Elephas maximus indicus: one gene and its partner. The protein of the gene in region 1 interacts with the protein of each later gene in a pairwise test. Links are inferred from orthologs where the notes say so. Each region holds a gene or a part of one and is shown on either strand. Other genes may lie near its edges. The genes, in order: RPIA and PCMT1.

The links.
Region 2: the proteins of RPIA (region 1) and PCMT1 interact in binary tests that used the Homo sapiens proteins (3 or more experiments, as listed by UniProt). The two-hybrid records come from large-scale screens. The link is inferred for Elephas maximus indicus from reciprocal best matches to the Homo sapiens genes RPIA and PCMT1.

What each region holds. Positions count from the first base shown.
Region 1 is NC_064835.1:46,778,648-46,782,557, forward strand, and holds the start of RPIA (ribose-5-phosphate isomerase), read right to left. Parts: upstream 2,621-3,910; 5' UTR 2,588-2,620; coding exon 2,303-2,587; intron 1-2,302. UniProt on the Homo sapiens protein: Catalyzes the reversible conversion of ribose-5-phosphate to ribulose 5-phosphate and participates in the first step of the non-oxidative branch of the pentose phosphate pathway.
Region 2 is NC_064819.1:221,029,582-221,033,491, forward strand, and holds the start of PCMT1 (protein-L-isoaspartate(D-aspartate) O-methyltransferase), read left to right. Parts: upstream 1-1,254; 5' UTR 1,255-1,265; coding exon 1,266-1,494; intron 1,495-3,910. UniProt on the Homo sapiens protein: Initiates the repair of damaged proteins by catalyzing methyl esterification of L-isoaspartyl and D-aspartyl residues produced by spontaneous isomerization and racemization of L-aspartyl and L-asparaginyl residues in aging peptides and proteins.

The DNA of each region.
Region 1 (3,910 bases):
AAATTTATTTTCTCACAGTTCAGGAGGCTAAAACTATGAATTCAGGGCACCAGCTCTAGGGGAAAGCTCCTCTCTCTCTGTGTCAGCTCTGGGAGAAAATCCTAGCCTCAGATTCCTTGAAGATCCCCATAAAAAACAAAAACCAAAAACCAAACCCACTGCCATTGAGTCGATTCCGACTCATAGTGACCCTACAGGACAGAGTAGAACTACGCAATAGACTTTCCAAGGAGCGCCTGGCAGATCTGAACTACCGGCCTCTTGGTTAGCAGCCTCAGCACTTAACCACTACACCACCAGGGTTTCCAAAGATCCCCACAGGGCATCTGTTTCCCATTTGTGCTAACTTGTCTCCAAGCCTAATCTGTTCTTTTTCCATCTTAGAAGTCGTTAAGTTTAAAACACACCCAGACTGATATGATCTCGATAATATAACAAAGGAAGCCCCACTGCCAAATGGAATTACACAATTCAGTCCACAACAGCTGGCCAAAGGGAAGAAGCAACTCTAAAAACATTCCAAAGGCGTAACTAACAGGGCTTGGCACATAACCTACTTCAATAAACTCAGACACGTGATTAAACAATTGCAAGATGCAAAGTACTACAGAAAAAGGTGGCCTTCGATAAAGCAGAGGATAATCCCTGGAAGAAGCAGCTAAACCTTGACAATTAGGCACAAGGCTGCCTCAATAAATGTGCGGCCTTGAATCAGTTATCTTGTCTGCAAATTACCCAGGACCTGACTCTCCGCCTCCTCCCTTTAGCCACATTTCTGGCTATCCCACTGCCTGACATCAATGGGCGCTCAATAAATACTCAAAAAACGAATGAAACGAATAAATCAATGTTAAAGAGCAGAAATACATAATTCAAATAGTGTTGGCATCTCAGGAAAAAATTTTGACAAGGTAAGTGGGTATAACTGAGGCTGAGGTGAGGTGCCCTCTGGGTGGCCTGGTAACCTCACAGACTGATGTGGCTGGAATCCAGGGTTTAGAGTCTATACCCTGAGATGAGGGTGTGCAGGTTTTTATTTAACTGAATATATAACAATCAGACAAAGATCTGGCAGGCATATGCTACCAAGTGTTAATGTAAATAGGTTATTGGAACAATTTCAGTTCGGAGCTTTTATATTTCTATAGATTTCATTTATCTGTCTACTGTCCACTGTATCCAGGTACTCAGAGCAGAGGCACTGAATCCCAAACACAGGGCTGATTACAAATCTTACGTTATTACCTCTGTGTGTTCCCAGACAGGGTCTAAAAGACTAACTAGATGTGCATCACACTACACCAGAAGTGGGTGGCAAAAAAGAGTGGAAACGCACTGAAACGGGGGTCACTCAGCTGGGTCCTGGAACCCTCCACTCAACAGACACAAAGCCACAGGTTATCACACCAGCTCCACCCACTTAATCAGGCTATTGTGAAGCTCAAACGACATCATTTATGCAAAATAACTTTATAAAGTATATCATTAACAAATGTAAAAAATGATGATTAGCGGAGAAAAGGAATCTGATACCACTTTCCAAGAAGCAGAAAAAGGAGACAAAAAGCCAACAAGGCCAAGGAAACTCCACTGCAGGGCAGAAATATCCCATTTGGCTTCCGTCGAGATACTATAATTAAAATAATTAACTTGATTGGTTACAGGAAATCCACTCAGGTTAAAAGACTCCTCCACTAAAAGCTCCACACCCGCCCCTTAAATAAACAAGTGAGGCCATGACCTCGCCAAGTAACAGCTAAACATCCACACCCACATCTTAAGGAGCAGCATCCTCCGGACCTAGAGTCCACTCCTCTTCGGTTCTGTCTCCCATTCTCTCTGGCGAGTACACTCAGGAACAGGCGCGCGACAAACTAAGAACCTCCCTGGAGAGAAACTTCAAAGCATTCTGCAAACGAACTTTGCGCTGTGAAAACCAGACAGACCCCTCGGGAGCCCCAGAACTCGACCACTTCCCATTTGTTCATAAGGCTGCCACAGGGAAAGTCCTTTCCAGCCCAGGCCTGAAACAGAAACCACTAGGCTCCACTTTGCAAACTTATCGACCCATCATGGAATCTTGACAAAGCTCAACTTTTGGGGGGGCTCGCCCCCACCCGACACATCTAGAAAGCCTTTAAGGAGCGAGAAAAGAAGGGGGTCTAACCACGGACACCGCGCGCCCCCCTTCCCGCTCACACAGCCCCCACCCGCCAGGAACCAGGCGCGCCGGCAGTGTCCAGAGGGCGCAACACGAGCCCATTAGGCCACCGGCAGGCGCCCCATGCCCGGAGCTGCTCACCCTCACGTGGTTCTCCACGGCCGCGCGGCCCGCCAGTTTCTTGGCCTCCTCGGCCTTGGACATCGCGGAGGGGGCCGGGAAGACGCGGCTGGCACCCCCGCCACTGGTGCTTGCGCTGCCGGTGCGGCTGTAGGACCCAGACTGCGCGCACCCGGGAGGCTGCACGTGGGAACCCGGGGCGGCCCAACTGTTGCCGCCTCCACCGGAGGCCGCGCCCCCGGCCCGCCCGGGGAGCGGGGCCAGGACCCGCCCGTAGAGGGTGCTGAAGGGCCCGGGGCGCTGCATCCTGCCGCCGCGCTCCAGCCTCCACCACGGTCCCGCCCCCGGGCCGCCCGGAAGTCTGGTCGCTTACGCACATAGCGTCCGCCCGCTGCTGCGCGGGTCTCTCTGGGAAATGTAGTTCCATGGCTCCGGCGGTCCGAAGCCGCGCCCCAGCTTGGACTACCTGCCCCACAATGCTTCGCGACTGGCGGTGCAAATCTTCGGCGACAACCTCGCGCGTCAGCAAGTGCGGCGCGAGTAGCCTGCAACCGAGTTCGAAAACGTCTGTATACCTTGGGGAGGTGGATGAATCCCAGGGGTTTTTCTGTCAGCCCACATATCCTAGAAAGAGGTATTGGTCCCGGCCCTGTTGTTTTTCCCAGCAGTAAAAGAACCTGGCGGTGGACCAGACCTCAGGGTGGTGGCTCTTTTGGAGACGTCACGACAAGTACGCGACGGTACCCCCCCCCCGCAAAAAAAGACAAATCCAGTGTCGTCGAATCCTTTCGACTCACAGTGACCCCATAGAGTTTCCCAGGCTGTAAATCTCTAGGGAAGCAAGACTGTCATATCTTTCTTCTCCGGAGCCGCTAGTGGCTTGGTACTTGGGGGTAAGTAGACTCACTTTCCATGGAAACTTACTTCAGAGCTCCCGTGCGCTGAAGTCCATCCTTAGACTCCGGGACCACAAATTTTAAACCCCATACCTTAGACGTTGTTCCCCACTTGGTGATGTTGGATGGCGTGCTTTGTCCAGATCGAGCCTGGCCCCACATATAGCGGTCCCTGCATTTCTTGATGATTAACAAGGGCTTTCACTGAACTTAGGAGCTCTGGTGGCGCAGTGGTTAAGCACTGGACTGTTTACCTAAAGATTGGTTTCCCTGCAGGAGAAACATGTGCCAGTCTTGGCAGTTCTACTCTGCCCTATAGGGTCGCTTTGAGTAAGAACTGAATACACGGCATTGGGTTTCACTGAACTTAACAGCTTTCTCTCTTATTTTCTCCCTTTTGGGTTTCTGGCTGTAGAAAATAATAGGGTCCCAATTTTACAGACAAAAATAATGCCACAGCCGTACCGAGACCAGTTGGAAGTTCTTAAAATTACTTGGCCTTTGTGCTTCTCCAAACTGGTTGACTCCCGCTAAGACAAGGCTAGTCATAGAGCCATTTTTCTTAGCCTCAAGACAGCCCCTCTCCCAGCCCAATTCCTAGAGTTCTTTCTTTTCCTCCTCATAACGTCTTTAAAGAGACACAGCCACTGGCTAACTGGAATGGGCTGAAACAGTTCCTGCCCTCCATCCTGGCATTCCAGATGACCTTTAGCTCATTAACTGCCTCATGCAC
Region 2 (3,910 bases), on another chromosome or scaffold:
GGTAGCATCACATACAAATGCAGTCAGTCTTGGTCGGCTTTAGAGAATTATCACGTTCCTCTTAAGAACGTCACATTTTTTTTGTTTTCCCCAACCAGAAGACCATCAGGAAGCTGCAGAAAGATGAAATGGAAAACTACTAAATTAATTGGAGTCCCAAACTAACACTTTTACTCCTAATGTTGAAGTGGAAAACACTTATGAGTGTGGTTTCATTTATGTCACTGGATCCTTAAAAATAGACAAGGTATATTGTGGATTGGAAGTGGGCGGCATGCCGCACTTGACAGTCTGTTAAAAACTAGAATTTGGAAGTTGCTGCTGCTGCAGCAGCATAGGATGTCTTGACATAGCTTTGCTTCTTTCCTTAAAAGACTACTGAACTAAATGATGCCTGAATTGTCAGACTCAGCTCTGATCAGGAGTCAGCAATTTGGATGCAACAGGCAACGTTCCCCGTCAGTCTCTTACTCATCATCTGCAGAGCTCATAGCAATAAAGCCAGCGCCCAATCTGACAGTGGAATTTGTGAGGCATCATTAGCTGAAGCGCACACTTGTATTGAGAAAATAACACATTCACCATAGGATACTGAGGTATTTTTAACCAATTGTAGATCTTCACGTTTTTATTATTTTAAGGAGCAGATCACCTCCTCCCCATTCCACTCTGAATGTGTGCTTTAGGACTGAGAACAAACCAGGGTCCCAAAGTCTCTGCTAACCAGTGATGTTTTTATCACAAAGCCAGAGGCTGGCGTCCTCGGGTTCTGCTGTGATTATTCAGGCTCCCTCGAAGGGAGCTCTTACTCTAACCGGCCTAAACGGGACGGAGGAAGCCCACCATCTAACAATCTGGGCAGCTATAGGAGCAAAGCCGCCGCTCGCAACAGCTGACCCGGAGGGGACCGCAGAGCCACCCGCAGCGGCGAAGCCAGATCCGCCAGACAAGGCGGCACAGATCAGCCCGGCCATCCCGCCTCCGCGCTGCGTAACCGCAGCCGCGGCCCGGCACGCGACCGACCGCGCCCAGGCCCAGCCGGTGTGGCCGCAGGGAGAACCCCGGGAAGGGGCAGCGCGCAGCCCGAGGTCTCAGGAAGGGGCATGCAGCCGCGGCGGCGGTGCTGACTCAGCTCGCTCTCCTTGCGGTGCCCGAGCAGCCACTGCAGCAACAAGCGCGCGGGTACGCCGCCACGCCCGCCCCCGGCCCCACCCGGCCGCACCCCGGGCCGCGCGGCGTCACAGGGCGCATGCGTGCCGCGGGGCATGCCGGGAGCGCGCAGTGGCGGCAGGAGCGGCGACGGCAGTAGCAGCGGCGGCCACAGCGGGGACGCGAGCGGGGCGGTCACCGTTTGGGAAGTGGTCTCACTCCTGGGGAAGCTGCTGGGCACCGTCGCCGCCCTGAAGGTGGTTCTGTACCTGCTCCGGGTGTGCTTAGCGATGGCCTGGAAATCCGGCGGCGCCAGCCACTCGGAGCTAATCCACAACCTCCGCAGTAAGTGCCACCCCCGCCCGGCGTGGGGCAACTAGGGCAGGCCGGGCCTGGACCAGGTCCCCTCGGGCCGAGCTGGAACCTTCTGTCTAACCTGTCTAACCCCCAGCGCTTGTCGGAGGGCTTCGGCGCAGGCTTGCACCGGTAGTCCCGAACGACGTGCGTTTGAGATCACCTCCCCCGGGACCTGTCACTCATCGGCGACGTGGAGGGGAAGGGGAGAGAAAGAGCAAAGCACCGCTGCTGGTGGGCAGGGGCAGTTGTCTCCCTGCGGGTGTGGGGAAGGGAGTGCCGCACAGGTGGTGGGGCTGTCACTCGAATCCGCAGCCTCTGGTCCGGGTCTGGCGGGCGAGGGGCGTGCCCTCGCGGTCGGGTGGTGGTGGCCAGGCCGCCTAGAGACTGGGCTAGAGCTCCGGGGCCCCACCCTCGTCTCCCGCGTTTTCTCACCTTCCTCCTTTATAATCAACCTCGCTGCAAGCTTGCTTTCTTATTTTGCCTCCCCCGCCCTCCGGTTTTTCCTCTGGAGGGAGATGCCACTGTCTGATACCGGCAGAGGGAGGGAAAGGAAGATGAGAGTATTGCCATTGCAGATGTTGGGAGAAGGCTTGTGGGGGGCGGAGGAAGAGATAACCAGGGGATGCTGTTTCTGAGAGACTTGTGGTCCTGGGACCCCAGCACACGATTGTATGTGAGGGATACCACATGCTTTAGAAAACCTTGTGTGGAAGTTCTTTATACCATTTTCTTTAGTTGTTTTATTCCTTTCTCTGGCGGTAATTTTAGGGTGGGATAAGTGCTGTGTCACTTTCTTTTTTTAAATTGAAATTTAGTATCGTCGTCTGTTCCAGAGTCCGGAAGGACCACAGTCCATAATAATGTCATTCTGGTCAGAATTCATAGCATTCTTTTTGCCACTAACTTTGCAAATAATCGTATTTGCTACGTGGTATTTTTTAATTATCATATATTATTTAGCTTTTCGTGTGTTCGTCTTATCTCTCAACTGGATTTGTAACCTCGAAGGCTGGGGTCATTAAAAAAATTTTTTTTTAATCCTCTCAAAGAGCTTACTACTCATTCCTTTTTCCACAAATGCTAATAAAGTATCCATTATAACCCTGGGCCTGTGCTCCGATACAAGGATAAGAAAATAAGTGTCACAGTCTGGCATATGGTTGTACTTAATATGCTTAATATTAGTCATATATCATTTTTTAAACAGTACTTAAAATATGGAAATTGTGTTTTTAGTGTTTAGTAATGAAGAATGTTTAGATTTCAAAATTCTGTCAAGCATTGCCATCGTCTTATTTTATGAAAGGATATTAGAAGTGGGTGTGATTTAGGTTCCCATGGATTGCACATATACTCAATATGTTGTATTTTTATAAAATTTCTTAACATGATCTATGTGCCTGCTGTTGCAGAGCACATACCTTAAACATTCTATACATGAATTGCGATTAAGTAATTTTCCACCAGTGGGTTATCCCAGTAGACACTTGACTGAGGTAGAAATTTGTAATCAGTCAGTATCTTAAGATCTTTCTCTCCTTTTTGGGCCAAATTTGTGTTAAGCCAAGACTAGACCTTATTCCAGTGGCTTTATAATCACTTTAATGTATTGCATTATTATTCTTAGCTGAGATTTCTAAGAATGTTTTTCTGTCAGATAATTTAATGAGGAATATTTAACATACATTCATATGATATTGAAGATATTTAGTTTTATATTGGCTCTATGATTCCGAAGAGGAAATTAGAGTACTTAAAGGAGCCCTGGTGGCGCAGTGGTTAAGTGTTTGGCTGCTAACTGAAAGCCCAGCAGTCTGAATCTGTCAGCCTTCTCAGGAGAGAGATGTTGCAGTCTGTTTTAGTAAAGATTTACAGCCTTGGGAATGCAGTGGGTCAGTTCTCTTCTGCCCTATAGGGTCGCTATGGGTGGGAATGATTCCAGGGCAATGGGCTCGGTTTTGGTTTGGATGTTACTTAACTTCTTTTTGGAACACTTCTGCAACTTTAGTTTCAACTTTTTGCTGAGGTAATTAAAAAAAAAACAAAACCAAAAAACCCGTTGCCTTTGAGTTGATTCAGACTCATAGTGACCCCTATAGGACAGAGTAGAACTGTCCTGTAGGGTTTCCAAGGAGCAGCTGGTGGATTCCAACTGTCTACCTTTTGGTTAGCAGCCTGAGCTTTTAACCACTGCACCACCAGGTCCCCAAAAGGTAATTTTAGCTAACAAATTTCATTTTTATTTATTAGTTTACTATAAAAATAATATTTAACCATGTAAAAATTTCATTTGGCACAAAAAATAGAAAGTCCTTCCTCCTTCATAGTAATTCCACTGTTGCGTATTCCCAACTTTAAAGGGTTCTAACTGAAGCCTTAGAAAAAGATGGACTGAAAAGGATCC